Linked DNA regions of Sus scrofa. The protein of the gene in region 3 purifies or fractionates together with the protein of the main gene of each other region. This does not show direct contact. Links are inferred from orthologs where the notes say so. Each region holds a gene or a part of one and is shown on either strand. Other genes may lie near its edges.

What was found.
Region 1: the proteins of dynamin-binding protein (region 3) and BIN3 purify together in Homo sapiens (co-immunoprecipitation; 5 studies listed by BioGRID and IntAct, counting the BioPlex papers as one, with this or other methods). This does not show direct contact. The link is inferred for Sus scrofa from reciprocal best matches to the Homo sapiens genes DNMBP and BIN3.
Region 2: the proteins of dynamin-binding protein (region 3) and DNM2 purify together in Homo sapiens (co-immunoprecipitation; 3 studies listed by BioGRID and IntAct, with this or other methods). This does not show direct contact. The link is inferred for Sus scrofa from reciprocal best matches to the Homo sapiens genes DNMBP and DNM2.

What each region holds. Positions count from the first base shown.
Region 1 is NC_010456.5:6,874,695-6,878,594, forward strand, and holds part of BIN3 (bridging integrator 3), read right to left. Parts: intron 3,790-3,900; coding exon 3,648-3,789; intron 3,526-3,647; coding exon 3,391-3,525; intron 1,863-3,390; coding exon of another isoform or gene 1,656-1,862; exon of another isoform or gene 1,367-1,655; intron 1,361-1,366; coding exon 1,163-1,360; intron 911-1,162; coding exon 886-910; intron 662-885; coding exon 588-661; coding exon of another isoform or gene 515-587; 3' UTR 1-514. UniProt on the Homo sapiens protein: Involved in cytokinesis and septation where it has a role in the localization of F-actin.
Region 2 is NC_010444.4:69,522,368-69,526,267, forward strand, and holds part of DNM2 (dynamin-2), read left to right. Parts: intron 1-688; coding exon 689-892; intron 893-3,654; coding exon 3,655-3,753; intron 3,754-3,900. UniProt on the Homo sapiens protein: Catalyzes the hydrolysis of GTP and utilizes this energy to mediate vesicle scission at plasma membrane during endocytosis and filament remodeling at many actin structures during organization of the actin cytoskeleton.
Region 3 is NC_010456.5:111,164,157-111,168,841, reverse strand, and holds the start of dynamin-binding protein, read left to right. Parts: upstream 1-1,542; 5' UTR 1,543-1,916; intron 1,917-4,685. UniProt on the Homo sapiens protein: Plays a critical role as a guanine nucleotide exchange factor (GEF) for CDC42 in several intracellular processes associated with the actin and microtubule cytoskeleton.

The DNA.
Region 1 (3,900 bases), about 100 Mb from region 3:
GAACCTATAAAACTAGACGCATAGGGCTGAGAGCGCCACTGTCCTGCTGCGGGGCTGGGAGACCACGGCTCTCACTGTTCCCAGGGCAATGTCACAGGCTTCTCCCAGCAAAGGGGAGTCTGAGGTGGAAAGGCAATGAGGGTGGGTGACTCCCCCAGGTGGCCCTTCTGGAGGTAGATGTGACCCCAACTGTGCAAGCCAGGCTAAGACCTCAAGGGAGCAAAGCCCATGCTCTGGCCCTAGGTTTGGATGCACTTTGGACAGTTCCTTAGGAACTAAGACAGTCTACACTGCTTACCTGTCTGGGCTCTTGCTACGGGTGGGGAGACGGCAGCCTGCTTGGGGTTCCTGGTGCCAGGCTCATTCCCAAGGGCTGGGGAGGTGGAGTGGGAGTCGTTGCCATCCCCAAACTTCTCCCAGGGAAGGGCCCTTTGCTGGCTGACGCCCGAGCCTAAGTTTGAGAAGGGCAGACTAGCGGCTGACTCGTGTGCCGGGGGTCCTCTGAGGCCTGGGCTCAGTCATCGGCCACGATGGAGAGGGCCCTGAGCTCGCTCAGCCTGGCCTCGTTCTCCCGCTCCCGCTGCTCGTCAGTGTGGCCAGGCTGGTCGAGCTGCTGGGTCAGGTCTCCAAAGATCTTGTGCATTTCCGAGTAGTACACGACCTGGAATGGGAGGTGAGAGGAGGGTGGCAGGTGCTGGGCTCCGGGGCACCAAGCCCCCCATACCACACCCCTGGGCAGCTGGCCTGCTGCTGTCCCCTCCAGCAGAGCACAGGGCCGAGTGAAGGGGCTGGATTCCACTTTGCCCTCCACCACCACCCTTCCCCTCAGGCCATCTCCCAGACCTGCAGGGCAGCCAAAGCCCCAAGCCCTTCCGGAACACTCACTGCCCACTCCTGGGTGGTGGTATGCCTGCGGGAAGGGAGCAACAGGTCCTCGGTGAGGTGGAGGTGGGGCTCTGCCCTCTGAGCTTAACAAGCAGCTGAGGGGTGAGGGCTGGGGGGGCGGCGATTAGGGAGTCAGGCAGTGTGACGGGGGCTGCTTTACAGAGGCTAGGAGAAGCTTATGGCCACGGGACGGGGGCACTGCAGCTCCCAAAGCCCTGGGAGGCAGTCTTAGATGTAAAGGTGAGGGACTTCCTGTTGTGGCTCAGTGGCAACGAACCTGACTGGTACCCATGAGGTTGCAGGTTTGATCCCTGGCCTCGCTCAGTGGCTTAAGGATCTGGCGTTGCCCTGAGCTGCAGCGTAGGTCACAGGTGCGGCTCAGATCCCCCGTTGCTGTGGCTGTGGTGTAGGCTGACAGCTGCGACTCTGAGTGGACCCCCTTGATTGGGAGCTTCCATATGCCGCATGTGTAGCCCTAAACAGACAGGAGGAAAAAAAAAGAAAAAAAGGTGAGAGAGGTGACATGGTCCTAACCTCTGTGCCTTCCCAACTCATCCCATCGTTCATCACTGCCTAAGCTGCAGAGCCAGGAAAGCAGGGCCCAGAGGCCAGGCTCATTTCCAGGTTTCCTTGTGCGCAGGCACCAGAGGTGGGATGGCGAGGCCCACGGGAGTGAGGCGGCTCGCTGAGCAGGTGCAGGGCAGGGCTTTGCGAGGGCAGGAGCCATTTCTTGCTCAGTCTTTACCTCATGACTAAACAAAAGTGTGCACTTAGAAGAAAGTATTCCACACTATCAAACAAACAGCCCTAGATTTTACCATCTCCAGCTCCAAGTTGTCTCTGGGAAGAAGGAACTTTCCTTCTCTAGAAACTTCGAGTGCTATTAATGGAAAGCAAGGCCATGTCTTCCACACTCGCACAGCTAGGTTTCCACTGGGCTGAAGGGGAGCTGAGTCAAGGTCTCCAAATGTTGTCACCTGAGGGGATGGGGGCTGGGCTGGTGCTGGGGAGGGAAGAGGATGGCCCACCTCCCCCAGCTCTCTGCCCTGAGCTGCACCGCCAGGCTGAGTCACTAGGAATGCTCACTTCTCCAGTGACTAATGGCAGCAGCAGCCACGGGAGGGGGAGGCTGGCATGGATGAAGCAGTAAACAACCCCCCAACCCTCTGCCTGGTTATAGGGCATCCCAGACTCCCAACCTGGGCACCCTGGGGCTTCCTCCTGTGCTCTGAGCAACAGGGTGGAGGGGGCAGGGCAGGTGGCTGGGGGGCTGGGAACAGCACGGTGACAGCACAGAGAGCGAAGGCATGGGTCTCCGTAAACACATTCCCTCCCCAGCCCAGGGTGAAGCTGCTGGAAGGAAGCCCGTACCTCCAGGGGCAGTGCTGTGGGGGCGAGTGTGGGAACATTCCACACCCCTACGCACTAAGCTCTGCCTCGTTTTCCCTGAGACACTGGGGACACGGTCACTAACAAGTCCTAGCTCCAACATCAATCCTGCGAAGGGTTCCTGATCCCAAGTGTGCAGCCCCATGGGTTTTGGTGTTCTCCAGAGACGCAGCTGGGAGCTAGCAATCAGGGTTTTCCTAGAATCTGTGACCGTGGACTCTGCAAGAACGACAGTGTCCACTGGAGGGCGCCAGATACCCAGGCCAAGCGCAGAGGTGGGCTGGAGGTGTATGGGGACGTTGAGCCTTCCAGGTGGGGAAGGCGGCAGGATGCTGCGCACCTGCAGCCCCCTGCCAGAGGGGTGTGGGTGTGGGTCCCATGAGGAGGAGAGACCTCTTGGTTTTGGCACCTCAAGTCTTTCTCTTTTACAAACAGGGAGAGTAGAGTAATCTCTGCTAATGGCTTGAATGGGGTTGGGGGAGGGCAGGAGCGACACCTGACCCCACACTGTCCTTACACCCTGGAGTAGGAGGAGGCAGGGTCTTGGCCTCAGTGCTACTGCTGCGTCCCACCCACGTCCAGCCTCAGCCCAGCCTGCCTTTCCACTGGAAGATGCACTACAGCCTGGTGCCCAGGCGGGGGCGCTGAGCAAGGCTCTCTCCAGGATTTAGGGACCCCCTCCAAGGGGTCTAGTCTTCCATCAAAAGAAAAGGGCTGACTAGGGAAGGGAGCGGGATGCAGGGTCGTCAGAAAAGAGCCGTCACCCTTGGCCCCTGTCCTCATCCTTGACACCAGGCAAAGGGTGAGGTGCTGGGGGCGCAGCTGGTTTTTCCTGCTGCAGAGGGCGAGTGGAAGAGCTCTCCACTCCCATCCTAAGGCTGGGATTTAACCACAGCAGCCAGTAGGAACCAACACAGGAATCCCACCCAACAACCGGGGAGCCCTCAGGGGTGGGTGCTGAGGGCAGGGATGGCGATGTCCTTCGCAGAGGGTGGCAAAGCCACCTCAGGTGTGGGGAGTGGGGCTGGGCAGGCATGAGATGGGTCTTCAAAGCCGGTGACTGTCTCCCCAGGGAAGAGCGGCTGGGCCATCCTGGGGGGCAGGGCAGGGCCTTACCTGTGCGCGGATCAGGGACTCGAAGCTGGGTTGGAAGTAGTCCAGGCGGCTGTTGTAGAACCGTGGCATCTCATCCAGGAGCTGCTTGTTCTTGGCCTCAAAGTCGTCCCGCACGGGCCGGAGCTCTTCCCGGGCCTGGGGGGCAGACCCTGGGTGTCGCAGCTCTTTCTGGCTAGCCCAGCGTCTCCCGGGGAAGGAGGAACTTGCTGCCTGGTACCCCGTGGCCCTGTCCACCCCCAGCCCCTTCTCCCTGGTACCTGGTGGAGCTTGGCCAGCACCGGCCCCGTCTTCTCCTTCTCCTCATACTTCTCCACCTTGGCCTGCAGCCTCCTGTAGTCCTGCAAGGCCTGCTCCCGCCGTTTCACCGCCATGTTGAGGCTCGGGAAGACACTGCCAAACCTGCCAGACACGGCTGGGTTGGAGACGGGCAGTTCCTGGGAGCTGCAGGCAGGCAGCTCGTTGCTCATTCAAAAATACATGTTGGGAGTTCCCTTCGTGGCGCAGCGAAAA
Region 2 (3,900 bases), on a different chromosome or scaffold from region 3:
AAATTTATGTAGCCATGGAGAGAAATTCCAATCTATAGATACAAATGTCTAAATTTAAAACCTTACGGAGTTCCCTTTGTGCTGCAGTGGAAACGAATCTGACTAGGAACCATGAGGTTGCGGGTTCAATCCCTGGCCTCACTCAGTGGGTTAAGGATCCGGCATTGCCGTGAGCTGTGATGTGGGTCACAGACGCGGCTCACATCCAGCATTGCTGTGGCTGTGGCATAGGCCAGCAGCTGTAGCTCCAATTAGACCCCTAGCCTGGGAACCTCTATGTGCTGCAGGTGCAGCCCTAAAAAGCAAAACAAAAAAAACAAAAAACAAAAAAACACCTTATCACTGATAATAAGTAGAAATGGAATATAATCTTTAAAAATGGTGAATCACTATATTGTACATTTGTAACTTACCTAATGTCACCCATACATCAATACAAAAAGAAAATAGAGTCACTTCATTAAAAAAGCAGCTGTATCCCTCAAATCCCTGTACTCACAGAGAGGGCATCTACAGGATGAGGTCCTTGAAGAGAGTTATTGGGTCAAAAGATGGTATCCAATTGGAGCAGCCAAAGAAATCCTGAGGCCTGACCCCCAGCACTTGGGGAAGCAGCCAGGTCCTTCAGAGCTGTGCGTGCCTCCCCTCCCCCAGCTCTAATGGCCTTGCACTCTGGTTTCCCTCCCAGTGTTGAACCTGACCCTCATCGACCTGCCGGGCATCACCAAGGTGCCCGTGGGGGACCAGCCCCCAGACATCGAGTACCAGATCAAGGACATGATCCTGCAGTTCATCAGCCGGGAGAGCAGCCTCATCCTCGCCGTCACCCCCGCCAACATGGACCTGGCCAACTCGGACGCCCTCAAGCTGGCCAAGGAGGTCGACCCTCAAGGTACCCACGCCCATGGGGCCCCATAGCAGGAGCTACCCCTTCCCAGCCCCTGAGGGCACTGTGACTTGCCTTGTACTCTTGATTCCACATCACAGGTGATCTCTTTGGCACATGACCTCCTCAGGAAAAGGCCTGGGACATAGCATTTCTCAGGAGGGCCAACAGTTCAGGAGTTGGGGGGCATCCCCCGGGAGGCCATCCATCGTGTGACAGTTGGCATTCTTCCTTAGATGCGGTGATCTCTGCTTCGCTTGGGCAGAAAGCTAGTCTGGGGGGTTGGGTGGGGAAGGGCACAGCCTTCCCTGGATGCAGATATGAGTCCAGATCCTCTAGAAGTTACTTATCCCCCCTGAGGCTGGGTCCCTTCTGTGGAAACAGGAACAGGAGTCCTAACTTGTGGAGCTGCTGAGAGGGCAGGTGAGCTCTCAGTAACTGCTCAGGGGCCAGGCCATGAGGGAGAGAGGATGACGAGTTCACGAAATAAGTTGGGGCAGTAGGAATGAGTGCAGACTCTGGCATCTATGTCCCAGGGGGTTCTGGGTCAAACTTGGCCAGTGGTCATTCATTCAGGAAATGTCAGTTAAGCCCCTGCTGCAGGCCAGGCTTTGTTTCAGCCTTGGGAACCCCATAGGGGACAAAATTGATGGCAGGGCCCTGCCACCGGTGAGCTGCTATTCCATGGTGAGACAGAATCCAGCAAGGAAATAAGCCTCTCCAGGTAGTGGTAAGCACTGGAGGGAAATGGAGCCCTTTGAGAGATGCTGGAATGGAAGGGGGGCTGTCACCAGCCTCTGAGGATATGAGGTTTTAGACAAGACCAGAATGATGAAAAGAGGCAAAATCCGGGAAAATGGGCAGTGGATGCTCAACAGATGCCCAGGAGGAGCTCTTTTGTGACACAGGGGGTTAAGGATCTGGTGCAGTCACTGCAGTGCCTTGGGTCATCCACTGTGGTGCCAGTTCGATCCCTGGCCCGGAAACATCCGCATGCTGTGGGGTGCAGTCAAGGAATATTTTCAAAATAAGGAGGTGCCCAGGACACAACAGGGAGGCCAGTGTGCCAGACCAGAGTGAGCAAAGGGAGGGCAGAGGAGTTGAGGCCCTGGAGTGGCCACGGCTGGTCAAGCAGGCCGTGGGGGCTGCAGTGGGAAGCTGGGTGTGTTCTGAAAGTGGTGGGGGTTTAGCAGAGGATGACACACACTGCAATACATTTCCCAAATTGTCTTCCAGCTGCCTGGATCCCATAGTGTTTTGGAAGGAGTTGGGGGAGACGGGCTCTGTGGCTCACACTCCCCAATTTGCAGGCCTGGGGAGCAGTAGGCAAAGGTGGCTCCTTTCCAGCCCTGGACTGCAAGCCCCTCAAGAGTTCAGGGCTCTGCCGGCTCCTTCCCAAGGTCTTCTAGGTGCGCTTTCCTGAGAGGGGCCACCCCTGCCCACAGCCCCCTCAACCTTCCTGTCCCCCCACCCTGTTTTGTCCCAGGAAATGGAATGTGCCTGTGACAAAGACTCCATAGAGGCTAGATCAGGCGGTGAGTAAGTGGGGGTGCATACAGTCAAGCACCGTTTGTGAACTGGATGCTGGCATTCTTCCGAAAAAAGTATCATTCTAACTTCGAAAATATTCATCATTATTACTCCCAGATGTCACTATTGTAAAATACGAAAACCTAAAATGTGGCAGCACCTCTCCCCCTGCAGATACTGGTGGCCATTCTTGGCAAATTTTCTTTCAGACTTTGTTCTTCCACATAAACTCAACATTTGTAGAAATAGGGTGATGGTTCCTCTTTTTCTGTTCTGTGGGTGTGCTTACCTTTTACCATAGGGACATACACCCGTAGCCATCCTCCTGGCTGCCCACTGCTGCCTTTTCTTTGTTCTTGAAATTAGGGTTGTTTCTGACCTTTCAGGAACAATGCTCTAGTGAGGTTGGCCATTTCCAGCAGAGTCGATGCCCCAGAGCCACTCCCCGGTCACATCCTTCTACCTTGGGCTGCCTCTCCCCTCTCCTGCCCCAGCCTGAGGCATCGGTGTTCATAGCCGTGGCTCCTTTGCCCTCCAGAAAGGTGATGCCCGCTCACAGCAGAATGTGAGCAGGCGCGGGCTCCAGGGAGGGCATGGCCATCTCCCCATCGACGCCCATCTAAGCACCCACTGGAGATCTCCTGGGTCTCTCTGTCCTCTGTGTGTATGTCACACACAGATACATGTGTATGCCTGCAACTAGCACAGGGGAGCCCTTGAGCATCAGCAAGGACAGTTGATCCTCAGGCTCCCCTTGATTCTGGGCAGCTTGGGACAAAGAGGAATTCCACAGGGTGGTTTCCAGAGCGGAAGTTTGGCCAGTGACATGAGAGGTATCCCGAGAAACAGTCGTCATGGGTCCGCATGTTCCATTGGCACCCTGCCCGCCACTCAGCACAGCACAGCATGGAGACTCTGAGCCGGGGTTCGTGTTTAGTCAGGTCGCCCTCTGATGATACCTGAACCAGATGCCGTCCCTGGTCGTGCCAACGACAGTGACAGTGGCCAGCGTTGATTGATTGAACTTTTGCCAAGTGCCAGGTTTATCCTTATGGACCACCCCCTGAGATCAGTGCATTGTCAAATGTCCTCATTTGACATGAGGATCCAGGCAGGCGATGTTATGGCTTGTCCCAGGTGGCACAGCCTGGAAGTGGGAAGCCCAACTGGACCCCAGGTAGCCCGGGGTCACCAGCCTGTGCTCATTCCTCATGGCCCTCTGACCTCTGCTCTTTCAGGCCTGCGGACCATTGGCGTCATCACCAAGCTTGACCTGATGGACGAAGGCACTGATGCCAGGGATGTCCTGGAGAACAAGCTGCTCCCCTTGAGAAGAGGTGCGGGGGTAGGGGGTGTGCCTGGGGGCCACAGGGTGGGCAAGATGGGTGAGCTTGAGCAGCAGGAATGCTGGGGCACCCTGGCTACTGGAAAACTATTTGTTGTTTATAGAACAATAGAAACCTCGGCAAACGCTCACAGATATA
Region 3 (4,685 bases):
GGTAGAAGAAACAGGTCTTGGTTGGGTTGGGTATACATTAAAACATCCTAAGTTTTCATGAAATGTAGGGGCGTTCCCGTCGTGGCTCAGTGGTTAACGAATCCAACTAGGAACCATGAGGTTGGGGGTTCGATCCCTGCCCTTGCTCAGTGGGTTAAGGATCCGGCGTTGCCGCAAGCTGTGGTATAGGTTGCCGCGAGCTGTGGTATAGGTTGCAAATGTGGCTCAGATCCCGCATTGCTGTGGCTCTGGCGTAGGCCGGCAGCTATAGCTCCGATTAGACCCCTAGCCTGGGAACCTCCACATGCCTCCGGAGCAGCCCCAGGGGGGAAAATAAAATGAAATGCATGCTTCTTTTTTTTTCTTTTTATGTCCGCACCTGCAGCATATGGACGTTCCCAGGCTAGAGGTCGACTCTGAGCTGCAGCTGCAGGCCTATACCACAGCCACAAAGCAGGATCCAGGCTGCATCTTCGACCTGACTAGGCTACACAGCCTGCAGCAACGCCAGACCCTTAACCCACTGAGCGAGGCTAGGGATCAAACTCACAACCTCATGGACACTATGTCGGGTTCTTACCCTCTGAGCTACAACGGGAACTCCTCATGTAATTTATTGAATACCGTACTGAAAGTGAAAAGCAATGGTTGTATGCATACAGAACGGTTGCAACCGTATTGGCGGTTTACCCTCCTGATCCCGGCTGACTGAGAGCTGCCTCACTGTCGCTGCCCAGCGTTAGGAGTGAGTATTGTAGAGCCTATCACCACTCCTGGAAAAGATCAAAATTCAAGATTCCAAGTGCAGTTTCTACTGAATGCCTACGGTAAAGTGGAAAAATCTTAGGTCCAACAATTTTAAGTGGGGACCGTCTGTGGAAGTTTACCTGTTTTGCATTCACAGTGATAGACTTGTGCATTCTTCGGCATCTCCCTGGTAGATCCCAGAAACCAGGCACAGAAATTCAAGCAACAGACCAAGCAGGGTGACTTTGCGGCCATTAATGCACAAAAAGACTCCTACCTGGATTCAGGAAAAAGTTAAATTCATGCTTTCAGTTCTTGCATTCTGTTATTCTCTGCTCTTAAACTCTCTTTAAGAGCAGAGAATGTCCTCAGACACTTCCCTCAGGAAAAAAAAATGAACAGACCGAAGTGAACGCCAATTATTTGTGACAAGATAAAGTAAACTGCCTCCGGGCAGCATAGAAGACCGCACCAGACAGGAATTGAATGGACCTTCTCTAAAAGAGACTTTGACCCATTTCTAGGTTGGACGGGGAGTGTGGCGGGTGTGGGATCAGAAAGGGAGGAAAGGAACTTTCGATCAGCGGGAGCTGTAGGTAGAACTGAACACCCTGCGAACTGCGAGCCGCGGAGCGCCACCAGCTGGGGCAGCGCCATGCGACCAGGTGCCTCAGTTTCCCGGAGTAGAGATCCTGGGGCACCGCCCCCTGACGTCATGAGGAGGGCGTGGTCATGCGGGCCGTCAGGGGGCGCGAGCGCGGGGCGCGCTCCACTGGGGTGGGTTCGCGGGGACGAAGCGTGGCGCTGCTCGGCCGCGCGGGCCGCGCGAGGCGGAAGCCTGAGCGCGAGGCGGGAGGCTGGAGGCGGAGCCGCCGCGCTGAGTCACGCCGGATTGACCCGCCCGCCGCTTTCAGGGGCGGAGGTGACAGCGGGCCCGGGACGGGCGGCTGCAGCTGCCTGCCGCGCGGAGGAACCGCCGGGCGGCGGAGAGCAAGTCAGGGGCCGAGCCGGGTCGCTGTCCCGGGCAGCGGACAGAGGGGACCCGCGCCCTGAAGGACGCACCGCGCGACCCGGCCTGCGCCGCCCCTGCCCCGCTGCGGCTGCTGCCCAGCCCGGAGCCCCGGAGGGGCGGTGGGACGCCGGGCCCTCGTCGGAGTCCTTCGCTCCAGGTCAGTCGGGCCCTGGGAGGCGCCAGGGAGTTGGAGAGGCCGGGTGGCCGGCGGTTCGAGGGATGCAGACGTGGGCTTTGTAAATGGTGTCAAGCAGGCACAGGGCTCTTTTCACTGCACCGCCCTGCCACTCCGGCAATGAGGCGGAATTTGAGAGCTGGGGAAAAAAAAAAAAAAAAAAAAAAACCCACAACAAAAATCCAGTATTAGTCCAGCCCCCGTATTTTACAGATGAAGAAATTCTTTTGGCGTGCACAGAGTCACTTTCAGTCGGTATGGGAGTGCGTGATTCTGTGTCTAGGAGGCAAGGGGGGATGGTTTCCGAAGCAAGAGTAAGACCTGTTTGGCTAGAGATGCAAGTTTGGTGATGGTGGAGTTTTGTACCCTTACATTCCTTCCGCAGGTACTGATTGATGTTCACCAGGCATCAATTTCTCAAAGCATTTAACCTTGAAAAGGCTGTCGATGCTGTCGAATAAAGGAATATTGGGGTGCAAACAAACCAAGTCTGCTGCAAATTAGGCGCTATGGAGAATGCTTGGAGTATAAAGTTAAATTTTAAATAAGGGGGAAAAAAACCCACTTTTAATCTCATTATCCCTTATTGTCTGTCTCCTTTATATAATAAAGGGCACTCAACATTATTCTGTAATATTAGTAATTAGTCTTTAGGTGTAAATTACTTTGCAGTAATTCCTTTATAGTAATATGAGCATCTTGTGTTGAAACACTTTCTTTTCATAATCAATGATGCTGTGGTGTGTGGCAAGCCAGTGGTAGCACTAATATTTAGCGTTTGAGTGTAGTTTAGCTCCACCGTTTGTATAGCTGAAATTACAGGACTGATGAGTCCATAGTTGTATATGGGAGAGTGAAGTACCTGCCAGCATACAGGTGTAGTTTCTCAGAGTTGGTGCTGCATTTATTGCTCTCACAGCACTGAATAGATTCCAGGTGATGAGCAAGTTAGTTTAGTTTAATCTCTCAGCACCTGTTTCTCTCTACATTCCTGAATTAAAGGGTCACTTCCTTCCACCTCGAAAGTTCTCTGATTTTACATGTTAATTTGAAACACTCGTCACTCATTGTGACAATAATGCAAAGTTTTGAGAAAATAAGTTTTTTAAAAAAATTCTGCATCATGCATGGTGAATCTTCAAATTCACTGTTACTGTTAACCCTCCCTTTATCAGTGTTGAGCTAACATAACTGAAAAGAGGTTTTTCAAATTACTTCAGTGTTAAATTCACTAAATTCAGAGACTGGAATGGAGTACTTTGTGTATAACGGAGAATAGCTAAAATCTAGCCTGGGAATGAGGTCTGTGCAGTGCATAGATAACTTTTGCAATAAGCCGAGAACATTCTGCCTCAAAAATGTGATAAGATGTCTTTTATACAGTGTTCATATTGTGTGTATTTTCCACTGAGATATGATAATAATCTGCATAGACAACCGGTCCAAATACATAAAAAGATATTTTGTCTTGAAGCCCCAAAGTAGAGCCTTTATAAGCCTCTGGTTTCTTCTTTTCTGGCTCCTTCCTTCCTAGTGCCCCTCTTACCTGCTGGAGACCTTTTCACGTTTGTCTTTCATCCACATCGAAATTCAGAGCCTCTTTCAAGCACTGGTTAAATTTACACTACTTTTTCTCATCTTAAAGTACATGATAAATCATAATTCTTGAATCACCATTTAGGATCTCTTAAAAACTAAGGGTGGGTATTCATTTTGTGAACATAGTGCAAGACTCTGAGGCTATAAATTGCAATGTGGAAACCCTGAAGAAGGTTAAGCGGAATGTGTTTAGATTTTTATCCTCATTAAACTTGGAGACTGCTATCCAGGAAGCCTCCAGAGCCAGTAAACTCATTTATCTCTGTCTCAGAAGGAAAGCCTTTCTGCAGGACGCATAGTGAATCTTCAAATTCTTCTCAGACCTCCCAGTCAGTCGATCAGGGTTGGGCTTAAATAAGCGAAAAGTGATTTCTCAAATTTCAGACACTTAAGTGATTTTTTTCAAATCATAGATATTTTTAAAATTTGGAGACTTCCTTTTTTTTTTTTTTTTTTTTTAAATGGCTGCACCTTCAGCTTGTGGAAGTTCCCAGGCCAGGGATTAGATCTGAGCAACAGCTGCAACCTGTGCCACAGCTGTGGCAACACCAGATCCTTAACCCATTGTACCACAGTGGGAACTCCCTTGAGACCTTTTTTTAAATGATAAAAGCAATTAAACAAGAATACAAATGCCTGCTGGCAGGTATAAGTCTTGAATTATTTTCTAGGTTTCTTATTCTGTTGTTTCTAAAGTCAGTTAAGGTATTACCTATATCACAGCATTATTACAAAATGATTTGCTCTGAAATTTTCAATTGTGCCTGATCTTCAGCTGAAGCATCCTGAAAATTTGCAGAATATTATGAAAAATTTTAAACATGAATGTAAGATTAATTTTTTATTATGCCTCACGTAGGAAAACATGTGAATAAACTAATTTTCAAGGTTGGATAACGTAGTCGTGCGGGCAGGAGTGGACTGTATCAGTCTCTCGCCTGGAAGGGCAGAAAGATCTAAAGTAGCAGCCATAAAATCAGATCATAGAAGAGCTCTGTGAGGAAGGAGCAATGAAGCAAATCAAAGCTCAGCAAATATTCATGGAGCACCCGTAGACGCCAGGCTTGGTTCTTGGTGCTGGGCTTAGAGCTGTGAACACAGCAGCCAAAGCCCTGCCCTCATGTAATAGGTATTTCAGTGGGGTGGAGGCAG